Caenorhabditis elegans: one gene and its partner. The protein of the gene in region 1 interacts with the protein of each later gene in a pairwise test. Each region holds a gene or a part of one and is shown on either strand. Other genes may lie near its edges.

Evidence for each region. The genes of interacting proteins can lie anywhere in the genome.
Region 2: the proteins of F36A2.9 (region 1) and K11D9.3 interact in a two-hybrid assay, tested with the Caenorhabditis elegans proteins (one large-scale study listed by BioGRID).

What each region holds. Positions count from the first base shown.
Region 1 is NC_003279.8:8,814,967-8,821,203, forward strand, and holds the start of F36A2.9 (Lipase_GDSL domain-containing protein), read left to right. Parts: upstream 1-2,009; 5' UTR 2,010-2,014; coding exon 2,015-2,283; intron 2,284-2,641; coding exon 2,642-2,746; intron 2,747-2,790; coding exon 2,791-3,002; intron 3,003-3,069; coding exon 3,070-3,284; intron 3,285-3,895; coding exon 3,896-4,041; intron 4,042-4,094; coding exon 4,095-4,209; intron 4,210-4,254; coding exon 4,255-4,461; intron 4,462-4,532; exon of another isoform or gene 4,533-4,610; coding exon of another isoform or gene 4,611-4,656; intron 4,657-4,702; coding exon of another isoform or gene 4,703-5,112; exon of another isoform or gene 5,113-5,137; intron 5,138-5,306; coding exon 5,307-5,411; intron 5,412-5,477; coding exon 5,478-5,588; intron 5,589-5,647; coding exon 5,648-5,764; intron 5,765-5,917; coding exon 5,918-6,013; 3' UTR 6,014-6,237. Other genes in the region: rps-15 (Small ribosomal subunit protein uS19), read right to left, coding at 634-759, 815-1,037, 1,113-1,219; F36A2.10 (DNA-binding protein), read right to left, coding at 4,611-4,656, 4,703-5,112.
Region 2 is NC_003281.10:10,798,204-10,804,440, forward strand, and holds the start of K11D9.3 (Major facilitator superfamily (MFS) profile domain-containing protein), read right to left. Parts: upstream 2,897-6,237; 5' UTR 2,896-2,896; coding exon 2,775-2,895; intron 2,006-2,774; coding exon 1,739-2,005; intron 1,688-1,738; coding exon 1,542-1,687; intron 1,088-1,541; coding exon 842-1,087; intron 231-841; coding exon 1-230.

The sequences.
Region 1 (6,237 bases):
ACACTTCGTGAACATTGGATTACCGTTTAGACGAAATCTGTTATCAGAAACTTTAATCTGACAGACAGGATCCAGAAAATGGACCAATTATAACAAACACGAAATCAAGTGGGAGACAGCGAAGTATGTGACGAGGAAACTTATTGCCACCAAGTCGAACATTTTTGATACCTTTCGGAGAAATAAGAACAAAATCTATCCATTTTTTCACTTAATGTTGATGAGAAAAAATGAGAAGCCGTTTTCTAAAATTATGGCCTTTTATTGCAATTCTGTGTTCGGACTATTCTGTTCATTAAAAGCAGCGTATTGCTGTGTAGAAGAATGGTAATCACGGTATTCAGATTGGTCGATGACATCCAGGGCCAGCAAGTTCTCGATATTCGTTTACTTTTATTAGGAATACAAAAGAAATTCAAAAAATTTGGGTGGTTATTTTTGTGATAGTGCGGGCTTCCGTAAAGGCATTCGCATCCAATATTCAACTGACCCTTTCAACTCGCGCGGACATTTCGACACATTCTAATATAAAATCATCACGTTTCTTCGAATTGATGTTATTCAACCGTGTATAAAAGACAGCAACATAATTTGATCAACTTTAGAAACAAGTTTATTGTTCAACAAATAACTTTACTTGAGTGGGATGAATCGGGAAGAGTGGGTAGCTCCAATACCTGGTCTTCCGTGCTTGACAGGCTTGTAGGAGATAGCGAACTCTCCGAGATAGAATCCGATCATCTCTGGCTTGATTTCGGTCTGTAACAAAATAATAATAATCATAATGTTTTCGCATTTATTGTAATCGACTCACCTGGTTGAAAACCTTTCCGTTGTAGATTCCGATGACTCCACCAACGAGCTCTGGAAGGATGATCATGTCTCGGAGATGGGTCTTAACGGTGGCTGGCTTCTCGAGAACACCAGCAGCCTTCTTGGCCTTTTGGACCTTAGCGATGAGAGCCAAGTGCTTTCTCTTGAGTCCGCGATCGAGACGTCTGCGCATGCGGCAGGGGAGAAGCTTGGTGAATTGTTCACTGGAAATAAATAATTGTTCTTGGAGATGACCAAAAACCAGACATTGCCGGCAAAATATTGTTTTAAAAAATTACCGGGACATGTCCAAAAGTTGGTCCAAGTCAACTCCTCTGTACATGAACTTGCGGAAAGTTCTCTTCTTCTTCAGCTCAGCGAGATGGGCATCATCTTGAGTAGCCATGTTTAACCCTGAAAAATCGATTACTTTTTTTGTTGCAATATATGGATATTGAAAAGAAAGTAAATAAACATATGGAAGAGAAGTGAAGAAAACTCGTCATGAATTATCAAAAAGAGCACTGACTTACATATCGTAAAATTTAATTAAATAAAATCTGAATTAATGCAACTTCCATTTTATACATTTTTACGATAATTTTTCCATTAGTTTCACATATTTCTCTACAGTAGGAAAAGAAAAATTAGTATTTCTATATTAAAAACAGGTATTAACACCAAAAAACCAGAAAAACCGTGAAAAAAATCGCGAAAAACGGAAAATTTTGTAAAAATTCTACTGACAACCGAAGCTCCGTATCGTTCATCATTGTTGAGTCGCTACTCAGCGCAGGTTGGCTGTTCGCCAGAATTCGGTGGAGCGCGGTTGCAATTCTTATATTTTTATCAATTTTTCGGGCCTGATAAACGGAAATTGGTGAAAAAAAAAGTTTTGGAGCTTCGTAATTTAATTTAAATAATGTTATTCTCAAAATAAAAAATGTATTCAACTGCTGAATACAAATTATTTTCATAAAATGAAGTTTCGACCAGAATTTATTCGACAATAATTAGTTATTTGAAATTCTTGTCGATTTAATTTTGTTTTTTAAGCATTGTTTTCAATTTCGAACTGCAAATAAAGCATAATAGAGTTTGGAGATCTATATTCTCTCCTTTTGACGATTCTACCTTTTAAATATCTTCTTCTTTAGCCTTATCGCAAGCACTATTTTGTCTTCACTTTAATTTTTTCAGAATGCGATTAAACCTACTTCTACTACTTCTATTTTATTTTGCACATGGATCTGTGGTTCCCAATGTAGACCAGAAAATTCTACGCGGGGAGTTCCATGACGAGGGAAAGTTTATGGTGGATTATGAGGATAATTCGCAAAATTTGACCGATTATGCGAGCCGAAGAAGCAGTGATGACGATAAAATAACTCCAGAAGAACAAAAAAGGCGTGGAAATGACAGTACAGAAGTTTCAGAAGATGATGATTCAAGTGATATAAGTGAAGAAAGGTGTGACCATTTAATTTAAAATCATTTTTTCTCACCGGCTTCTTGCGATTTACAAAATTTGGACAGTTCAGACTTATAAAAATGTGGGGAAAATCAGCCGATTATGACAAATTTTTCGACACTGCTACGTCATCACACGAAGATGAAGAAGGGTTTTCAATTTTTGAAATTAGAATGCTAAAACCGCATGGTCTGCTTCTCCCAATTTCAAACTATCCTATTTATTTTTGTTGAGTTACTTAATTTTTTAATCTTCTTTTCCATATTAGTTTCTTCCAATTAAACGCTTTTTGAATGAGGTCGAGTGATGGTCTTCCTGGAACTCTATGAAAAATGACAAAAACAATTATTATTTCAGAGAAAGAGACAGTGTGGATCATCAACATCTCAAATCTCTGACCGCCATCAAACCTGAAAAACATCAACCAGTGGCTGGTGTAATCAACTCTGCATTCAATGACAGGTTTATTTTTACTAATATATTGATAAAAATGAAGCTTTTTTCAGAAAGACATTCTCCTGTCCTCGTATCAAAACTGAACTTTTGACTGGAACGAATGTTGGAAACATATCTCCTGAAGATATAACAATCATTGCTGCAATGGGAGATGCTCTCGCAACTGGAATTGGATTATGGCCAAATGCGGATATCGAGTTTCGAGGTGCCAGTTTCCCGATTGGTGGAGATTCTACTATAGATGGATTGATCACCATTCCAAGTGAGCTTTTTTTAAAAAGAATTTCCTGTAAAAAATTTATAATCAACAATAAATAAACAATTTTCAGATATTCTGAGGGAGTTCAGTCCAAAATTAGTCGGCGTATCTCACGGAATGGGAGCCGATCTTCCGAATCATCAGCTTAACGTGGCGGTTACCGGAGCAACGACCGAAGATCTTCCAGATCAAGCAAGACGATTAACACGCAGACTGAAAAAATTATCAGAGCTAGATTATCATAATGAATGGATTATGATAATTATTACTATTGGGACAGAAGAAGTGAGTAAATAAATGTGTAAAAAGACCGTTCAACGGAAAAATTTCTGCTAAAATCAAGAAAACAATTTTTTCGTAACAAAAATTTTAAAAAATAAACCAAGATAAATTTATTTTAAGAAAAGGGATATGTATCGTAATCTCTCACCATTCACACATACCTTCTTAAAGGCGCACGGATTTATTCAGACGGTTCTCGGCGCGCAAAAATTGTATGGTAGTCCTTTTTACTTTTGCGGCTGCTTCCTTGTTTATTTTTCTTGTATTTTCAATAAAAGCACTTAGCCGATTTTTTCGTTAAAATTTGTTCAAGCCAGTTTTCACCAAAATAAAAAAAAAACAATTTTTAAATGAAAATATGTGCTTTGAATATTTACTTATTAAACATTTTTTAACAGAAAACCTAGAATAAAACGACAGAATCTGCTTAAACAGGAAGCAGCCGCAAAAAACAACTAAACACATAAACTGAAATTTAATTTTTGGGTTTTAAAATTTTTTCCAAAAACTTTTTAAAAAAATTAACTTCTTCCTTCTGAATTCTTCTAAAAAAAGCAGTAATCAAGTAATGTCTTGGTGTATAATGAATGAAAATTTGACCCGATTTGTTTCAGCTTTGCTCTCGATGTGAAGGACCTTCGTATGATAACATTAGAAAAGCTATTGAACATCTGCAAATAGAAATTCCAAAGGCTTTGGTTGTTCTTTTGGGACCTGTTCATGTATCATCCTTCCACGAGCAGAAATCAAATCTTTTGAAGTAAGTTATTGAAAACTGGGAATTCAGAGAATTTAATTTGAATTGAAATTTAGAGCCCGTTGTGCATGTTCTCGAGACCAAACCGAAGGGTTCATGTATGATGTGTCTCGAAAATGGTCCAAAGTTTGGCGAGATGTTCAAAAATTTGTGGAGAATGGAGTTACAGCCGTGAGTTATGATTTGTAAATAATTTAAAATTAATTCATTTTGTAGAGACCAACATTCGGAATGATCAGTTATCCAATGGTAACTATAACCTCAAGATATCCAAGTGGATTGTTCATTCGAGATAAGCCATTATTGAATCGAAGAGGTCATAATTACGCGACGAAGTGGTTATGGAATAGGCTGATTGGCGGAGATTTATATAATCTTTCCTCGGCTACACTTTCCCAGGATAACTATTTTTGTCCTTCTGTTGTAAGTTGAATGCATTATTAATGCGAAATATTCAAATTAACACTAACAACAGCATATTAAAAAAAACGTTTCAAATCACAATATTTTTATTCATAGTTATATCCCGGAAAGATCTCTTTTCTACCTTGCCATCAAGAAGCGACGATTATTTACTTGTGAGCCGCAGACACACGACGGGCGGTTTTGCTGCTTCCACTGAAAATTGACTATGAATATTAGAATAAAACTGAAAAAAACAAACCGCGATTTGATGGCTTCTGTCTTTTTCACTTTGACGGGAGAGATAGATCGAGCGGCTTTCGTGGTAACTGCCTTCTTTGGAGCACGCTTCTTTCCACGAGTGCTACTGCGGCTTCGAGATCTCGATCTGGAACGTGAGCGAGTAGACTTTGAACGTGAGCGGCGAGTAGATTTCGAACGGGATCTTGAACGGCTACGAGATGATGCCTTCTTTTTCAACTTCTCCTTCGGAATTCGAGATGAACTGGTCGAAGTCGAAGAGTCAGTGATCCCCATATGTCCACGAAGAGCAGCCTGAGAGCGAGTAACCGCTCCTTGGGTGCGGACCGTTGGTCGGACAGCTTGAATCGTCTTCTTTGTAGATCCTGGACCTTTAGATCCGACTTTTGCCACGGTAGTCTTTCTTGCCATTGATGGATTTCTTCAAGTATGCGAATATGTCGAACTAATGATTGTTTTGTGGTTTTGGTCGACCTTGTATAGACATTCATTTGACCGGGCGAAAAGAATAATTAAACCATGTCACGAGAAATTAGAAATGAAACATAAATAAATGTTTTTCAAATTTTTGGTTCAATTTTTTTTTTGAAAATTGTTTTTTTAAGGGTTGTCCGTATTTCCGAACGTATGAGAATCACAAGAGATGTTCCACTATGAGCCTTCAACAAGCAAAAGAAGAATTAATTGATATAAATGGGACTTTTACAAAGGTTTGTTTGATGTTGTGAATGCTTTTACTTTTAATTTTGTATATTCTGCATGTATTGATATTGTAGCCTCGTCGACGCTCGGTTCGGTTCTTGTACAACGTGGCAATGGTGGTTATAGGTGCAGCCTTTTGTGCTGCCTGCCTGCTCGGAACTTTCTTTTATCAAAAATCCAAAGCGGTATGCAATCTATACTAGAATTCCACTTTTAAATAGATGTTAATACATAATACTTTTAGGGTAATCATGGACGGTTCGAGATTGTGGAGGAACCACAGAAAAAACTGGAAGAAGCGCAGAAAGAAGAGCAAAAGGCGCTGCTTACAAGACAAAATACTCGAGCACAATCTGAACAGGTAAATTTAAATAAACAATTACTAAATATGGTAATATCTCAAAGCTCTCATGAAATAATTTCGTTTTTTTCTTTCAATAAGTTTCCGAAAAATGCGGTTTCCAAAGCGCAATATTCAGTTTGAAAACTTTTAAAAAACATCGCTACGTTTCAGGCGACAACTCCAACTGGTATCCAGCTTGCACCAATTCCTGTCGGACGTCACAAATCATTTTTAGGAACAATCAACGAAGGAAACCCGGATGTATAAATCTCAAATTGAGAATTCATTCGATTTATATTTAGTTAGTAATTGCTGTATTTTCATCTTGTCATCACTCACTCTCTGTAATTTTTATCCAATTATCCTGTAAATTTATCATTTACATCCTTGAATTCATTCCAACCCAGTTTTGCTTTACAACCTCAGTTTTATGGCATTTGTAAATAATTTATGCCAATCAATTCCGAAAATCTAAGTCACTTTCAACCTCC
Region 2 (6,237 bases), on another chromosome or scaffold:
TGAAGAGTTCGTCGACGGAATGATGGAACATGAGTGTCAAATACGACGAGAATCATCTTGGAAACCGCGATAAGAATTGAGAAAAGAATCTGATTGACGAAGAGATCACCAGATATTGTGTTGGAGTTGAGATCAGTTGCATATCCACAGATTGAGGCAACAAACCACATGGACCAGAGGACGAAGAGACGGCTCATGAGTCCTTTGGTTTGGAGCATTTCCATTACTGTCTGAAACAATTTTGTTGATTGAGCGTTTTCAGTGAGGAAATTGCTTCAAAACATGCTTTTGGTACCAACATGACCAATTATCATAGTAAAAAATTCAAAATGTTTTTCTAAATTTTATATGAATTTTTGAAAATTGGGAAAATCTCAGTTTTCGTTGTTCTTTTTTCTTTCAAATTTTTGGTGTGCAATCGTTTTAAATACTATTAGCCAACGCAATAGTTTTCTCGAAATGTGGCAAAAACTCAGTAATTGCCACTATTGAACCGTCAAGTTTAAAACAATTTTAGTGTTTGAAAAGTTTTACTATGATATTTGGTAGTTTCGAAACCATATAACAGAGGAGAGCCTTTTTTGCCGGTTTGCCGATTTGCCGGAAATTTTCATTTCCGGCGGTTGCCGATTTGCCGATTTTCCATTCGCCGGATATAAATTTGTCGGAAGTTTCTAGGGAGATTTTTTATATGACGGAAACATTTAAAACTGTACCTTTTTGAAATGTTTTCCCGTTTTCTTTGTATATTTTTTTTGAATTTCATTAAATTTGAAATTCTGAAATTTAGCACAGTTTGCCGATTGCCGTTTTTCTGAAATTTTTGTAAAATAGATCTCACCTTCGAATGTTCAATTCTCTTATGCTCAATTGGAACATACGGTACTCCTGCCATTTTTGCAATATGCTTCTCACTCTTTTTCATTTCATCCAACCTTCCTTTATTATGCAACCATGTCGGAGACTCTGGGAACACGAATACAATAATAATTAGAGCTGGAAGAGCAGCCACTGCACATGCAATCGATGACATTCTCCATTCGGGTAATGCCATTGCGATTAGGGTCATCATAAGACGAGCTACTCCCTGAAAAGTTGGATTTCCTGATTTTAAGCGTCAAGCATGGTGCATCGAAGGTTTCTTAAATACTTTTATTTTGAACATCAAGTATGAGATCGTTTTTTAAATTTAATTTTTGCAACAAAAAAAAAAAGAAAAAGCATTTGTCTGGATTTTCAAATCAAGCCTGTCTGTTAAAAAAAGAATGAAATTTTTGAGTTGAAGCTCAAAAAATGCCCTTTGCAAGTTTTTTATTTTCACTGTGCAATTTATTTAGCAGTTGACATTTCATAAACTTTATTTTCTATACCAAATGAAAAAAAACATGTGAAATTTACCATCTGTAGCAACCATTATAACTGAGATCGTGGCGAAACCCATTTATAAAAAATCATGTGCCTTTAAACAGGAGTATCGATGCACCATAACAGACGCTCCCTCATAGATTAAATGCACTATAAAAGTGACAAAAATCACATACCCAATTAAAGAATGCTCGCAGAGCCATTCTCTGTTGCGGCAGGAGCATTTCCATCACAAATGTGCACACAACTACAAGAGTTCCACCGACAGACAAGCCCAAAAAGAATCGGATTCCCAGAAGAACTTGGTAGTTTGGAGCCAATCCTGGAATAATTTTATTTGTTAAAAAAAAATTATTTTGAATTTTCCACTAACCCGTCACGAAATTCATGAGAATTCCAAGAGAAAGTGCAAAAACGGCGACAGGCTTCCGTCCAACAACATCTGAAACTGCTCCAAATGAAAATGTTCCACATAAAACGCCGGCAAATTGAATTTGTGAGAACAATGACTTCAAGTATGCAGATTTTCCACAAATCCAGTCATATTCCATTGCAGCTGACTTGAATGCCACGTTGACAAATGTTAAGTTGGATTTACATGATTCATAGACTGAACAGTCTGATGTTGGCTCCCCATTTCCTGAAATTATCAATTTTATTTGGGAAGCTTAGAAAAAATAGATTTCACGGTCAAGGCCTTGACTTGCAAGGTTTCTTTAAAATTTTATGTTTTACAGATTTGTCAAAAACAGTTTTTATCTTCAATTTTGGATACCAAATTTTGGCAATTTAATAAAAGTTAGTTCGTGTTTACAGAATATTATGTTACACACTGGTTACACTATATTTGTCGCACAAAGATTAAAAAAAACCTGCTCGTCAGATATGGCTTTTAATTTCTAAAGAAGGATTCTCTGTCATTTTTAAAATGTAATGTACTACAATTTGGGGTGTCGGTGTTTGCAGAGATTGGTTTTCGAAGTTTCTTTTAGAAGTTTCTTTGTATTCTTATTTTCAGAAATTTGGTAATTTTCGATTCGAAAACTGAAATAATGAACATTTTCGCGTCAAATATGTTCTAGAAGTTTGTCTACTCAATGCACCATATTTGACGCGCGAATTTGAAAATTTTGTCAGTTTATTTTTATTTAGTTGCAACTAGTTGTTTGTTGTTTTCAAACAAAATCAGAAAATACCGTTTTTTTTAGTGATTTCCCGGAAAAAAATGCGCGTAATTTAAACATCGATTTTGACGTTCAAAATCTAAAAAAAAATGCAGGAATTTTTCCTCGAAAAAATGTGACGTCAGCACGCTCTTAACCATGCAAAATTAGTTGAAAAGTTTGCGAAAAACTTTCATAAGTCTGGATTTCTTTCAATAAAATTTTTATAAAAATATAAAAACAAACCGCATGTCCATTGTGGCACATAATTCGAGAAAATCGGAAAAATCTGTTGTGAGGCGAAGAAAATGGAGAATTGCCAAGTGAGGAGAACGAGAAGGTGGAATCGATTAATATCGAACCACATCCTGAAAGTGTTCGAAATCGGTTTTGCGAATTTCTCACTCTCTTTTTTTTTTTGATAAATTGATAGCAATTTTTGTGTTAACAGATATGAAAAGGATAGATGATGAGAAAAATTACACTGATTTAAGTAAAGAAGAGATTGGAGTGAAAAACGAAAAAGTCCGTTTTTCTGATCTTTCTGGGGTTATTGGAGTAGGTTTTTATATATATTCTTTGGTTTTTAATAAGGACACCGGTTTTTGAAAATGATGAGACTAATGTTAAAGAAAAAACTTCGTCTGGAAAAAAACGTTTCCGTAAATTATAAAGGTTACCTAGTTGTTCCTCTAATTAAATTTGAATTTTTGGTACAGAATTTGATTTTAATTCTAAATTTTTAGACCAACAAATATGGGCTGGAATTTTGAAAATGGTTTCAAAACTTCAAAACTGTGAAAAAAAACGTATTTAGGAACATTTTTATACTTCAAAGTCAGTTTATTTTGGTTAAAAATATGATTTTCCGAATTTTTTTAAAGAAAAAACTCAAATTCAACTAATTTCCTAATTTTTTTACCAATACAAATTCACTATATAATTAAATATTCGGTATTTATGCAGAAATTTCGGATTTAAATTTAGCTTATTTAATTTTTTTTTTGATACGGAATATTGTGAATAACAGGCGACATTAATATTTTAGTATTTGAATATTTTAAAAATTAGACAAATTTTATAAATTTTTTAGAAGGTATAATCGGTTATTACGGTATATTTTTGGTACTTGTGTACACATTTGTACAAACATTCATTTATTTTGAAAATAAACATTTAATCGAATTTTTTTCTACCAATATACCAAAAAAAAGTTTTTTTAATTAAAAAAAAATACACTGAAAAATTCAAAAAACATACATAATCGAGCCAAAACAAAATGTTCTATAAATGGATTTTTACAAAAAATTCCAACTATCATATTAGTAACATTTTTGGTAAAACCAAAAATATAGAAGAGCTAATAAATTTAAAACTCAACTTTTATTACATTAATCGGCGGTCCTACTTATCCAAAATTTTAACAAATCTAGTTGAGGAGATATAATGAGTTTTGTGACGTGGCAGGCGTGTGTATGTGTAAGGGGATTCGGTATGGCACAAAGCTTATCAAAACAGCTGTCAATTGTCAGATAATGAATCACAATCACAGAGACACGACAATGATTCTTTCCTCTCATTTAACTTTTGACCGATAAATAAACACACACAATCAACGAGAAACGTTTTCTTCGCTTTTCTCAAAAATTCAAAAATTTATGCTACAATGCTGGAACATAGAATTGAATTATTCTAGGTACTGTTTCGATTGAAAATCATTTTATGTCAATAAAATCATTAAATAAGTTTCAGAAAATTTCAAAACAATCCACTAAATTCAGAAAAAAATATGAATGTCCACGTACACAAGCTTTGTCTGAAAAAATTTTTGAGCGAGAATTATGAATTTAAAAAATTAAAAATCCCGGCTCTACACGTTGACTACACAGGTTTTTTATCGGAAAAACAAATTTTCAACAAGATTCAGTAAATAATTTTTAAAAAATTAAACAAAATTCTAAATAATTCAAATAAATTCTGGAAAAAATTAGAATCCCGGATTGTAAAGGTGGAGTACACAAAATTGAGGTGGCCTACAAAATGAAGACAAATTGGGATTTTCTAGGCCATGGGCTTGTTAAATAAAGCTGAAAAACTTGAATTTTGGAAAAGATATAAAGAAATAAGAAATCAAGAATAACGAACTCGTGAATTTTTTTTGGAAACAAATATATATAGAAAAAGAAAAATGAGAGATAAGGAGGGGGAGCTGTTATCAATAATTGACTGATTGGAAGAAATGGGTGCCCCCAACTGAAAAAGATGTGTTCAATGAGAGCAAAAACAACGGAAAATGATCAGGAAGAGAAAGAGAATGGGAGCGCACAAAAACAAGGAGCCGGACAAAATTCGAGCCAATTTTCGGAGGGTTACTGTAGTTTTCTAGGACGGGCACATAAATATTTTGCTAAACAATTTTTTTGCTAAACACGGACAACAAAATTTCGAGTTTCACGAAGATCTAGGCCAACTTTCAACAAAATTAATAAGATAGAAAACTCGGCCATTTTTTTCCACGGCCACGTATACCATTTATTCTCAAAAAATTTGAAACCCCTGTCAAAGAAAATGCGCTCTATTGAGAAGTCCACAAATTTATGTTTCGTGGCGAGAAGAGAAAACTAGGCCACCAAAAATGTTAATATATTTAGTAATTTGGGAACTAACGGGCTAAAGTAAATTTTAAAAAAATCAGTGAAGCTTGGCCACCGATATTTTATTCAGAAAAAAAATTAAAATTTTTATTTACAAAGTGCGGCCTATTGAGAAATTCTCTAAAAAATCTGGGAAAAAATATTCAAATTTCCAGCTTATCACACTCTAACTAGGATGAATTGCTGGCCGAGTTTTTGCGTTTTCTAGGCCACGTGGCAAAAATAGAACATTATTGCACTGCACAATATTTTACTATAACCAAAAAACAAGAGAAAAAATTGTTTTAACTTTTTTTGGGAGAAGTGTACAAAGTTTAGTTTTTGTCACTTGTTCTCCTTTTCTTCCGCCGCCCATAAACATCTAATGGGGTTATTCAAGTAGTGTCGGAAAATTAAAAAGTGTAGAAAAATTACGTCACAACTGTATTTAAATACATTTTGCTACATTACTTTAATAACCCCATAAGTTTTTGCAAGTTATAGAGACAAAAAGACTGGAGGAAAACATAAAAAATAATGATTAAAGGGACAACCGGCCAGGAAAGAAAAAACATATGAAGATGGGCAATAAAATGTGTGGTGATAAGCGTTGAATAGGCTCTCCAAATAAACTAAAAACTAGGCGTTAGGGTGCTTATTTATTAGTTTGGATTTTTAAGGGGGATGCTCTTTTTGCAAGTTTGCAGGTCTTTCAAAAAATCGCAAAAACCTCACTGTTTTTAATATATTTTGTAGTATTTTGTTGTTTCTACTAATTTTCATATCGAAATTTCTAATAATCCAACTGAATACATATTTTAATACATATTTTAAAATGTTTTTTTAGGAAAAAAATAGTTGAAAACAATGGGTAAAATTTTCAAAAAGTACGAAAAATTCTTTGAAAACGGGCTAAAATTTTGCCGTCCAATTCCTAACGAGACCCAGCGTTTAGGGGTGGTGCAACCTTATTACGGGAGCATAATATTCTGAGAATGCGTATTGGGCAACATATTTGACGAGCAAAATAAATTATAACTATATCTCGTAGCGAAAACTACAGTAATTCTTTAAAT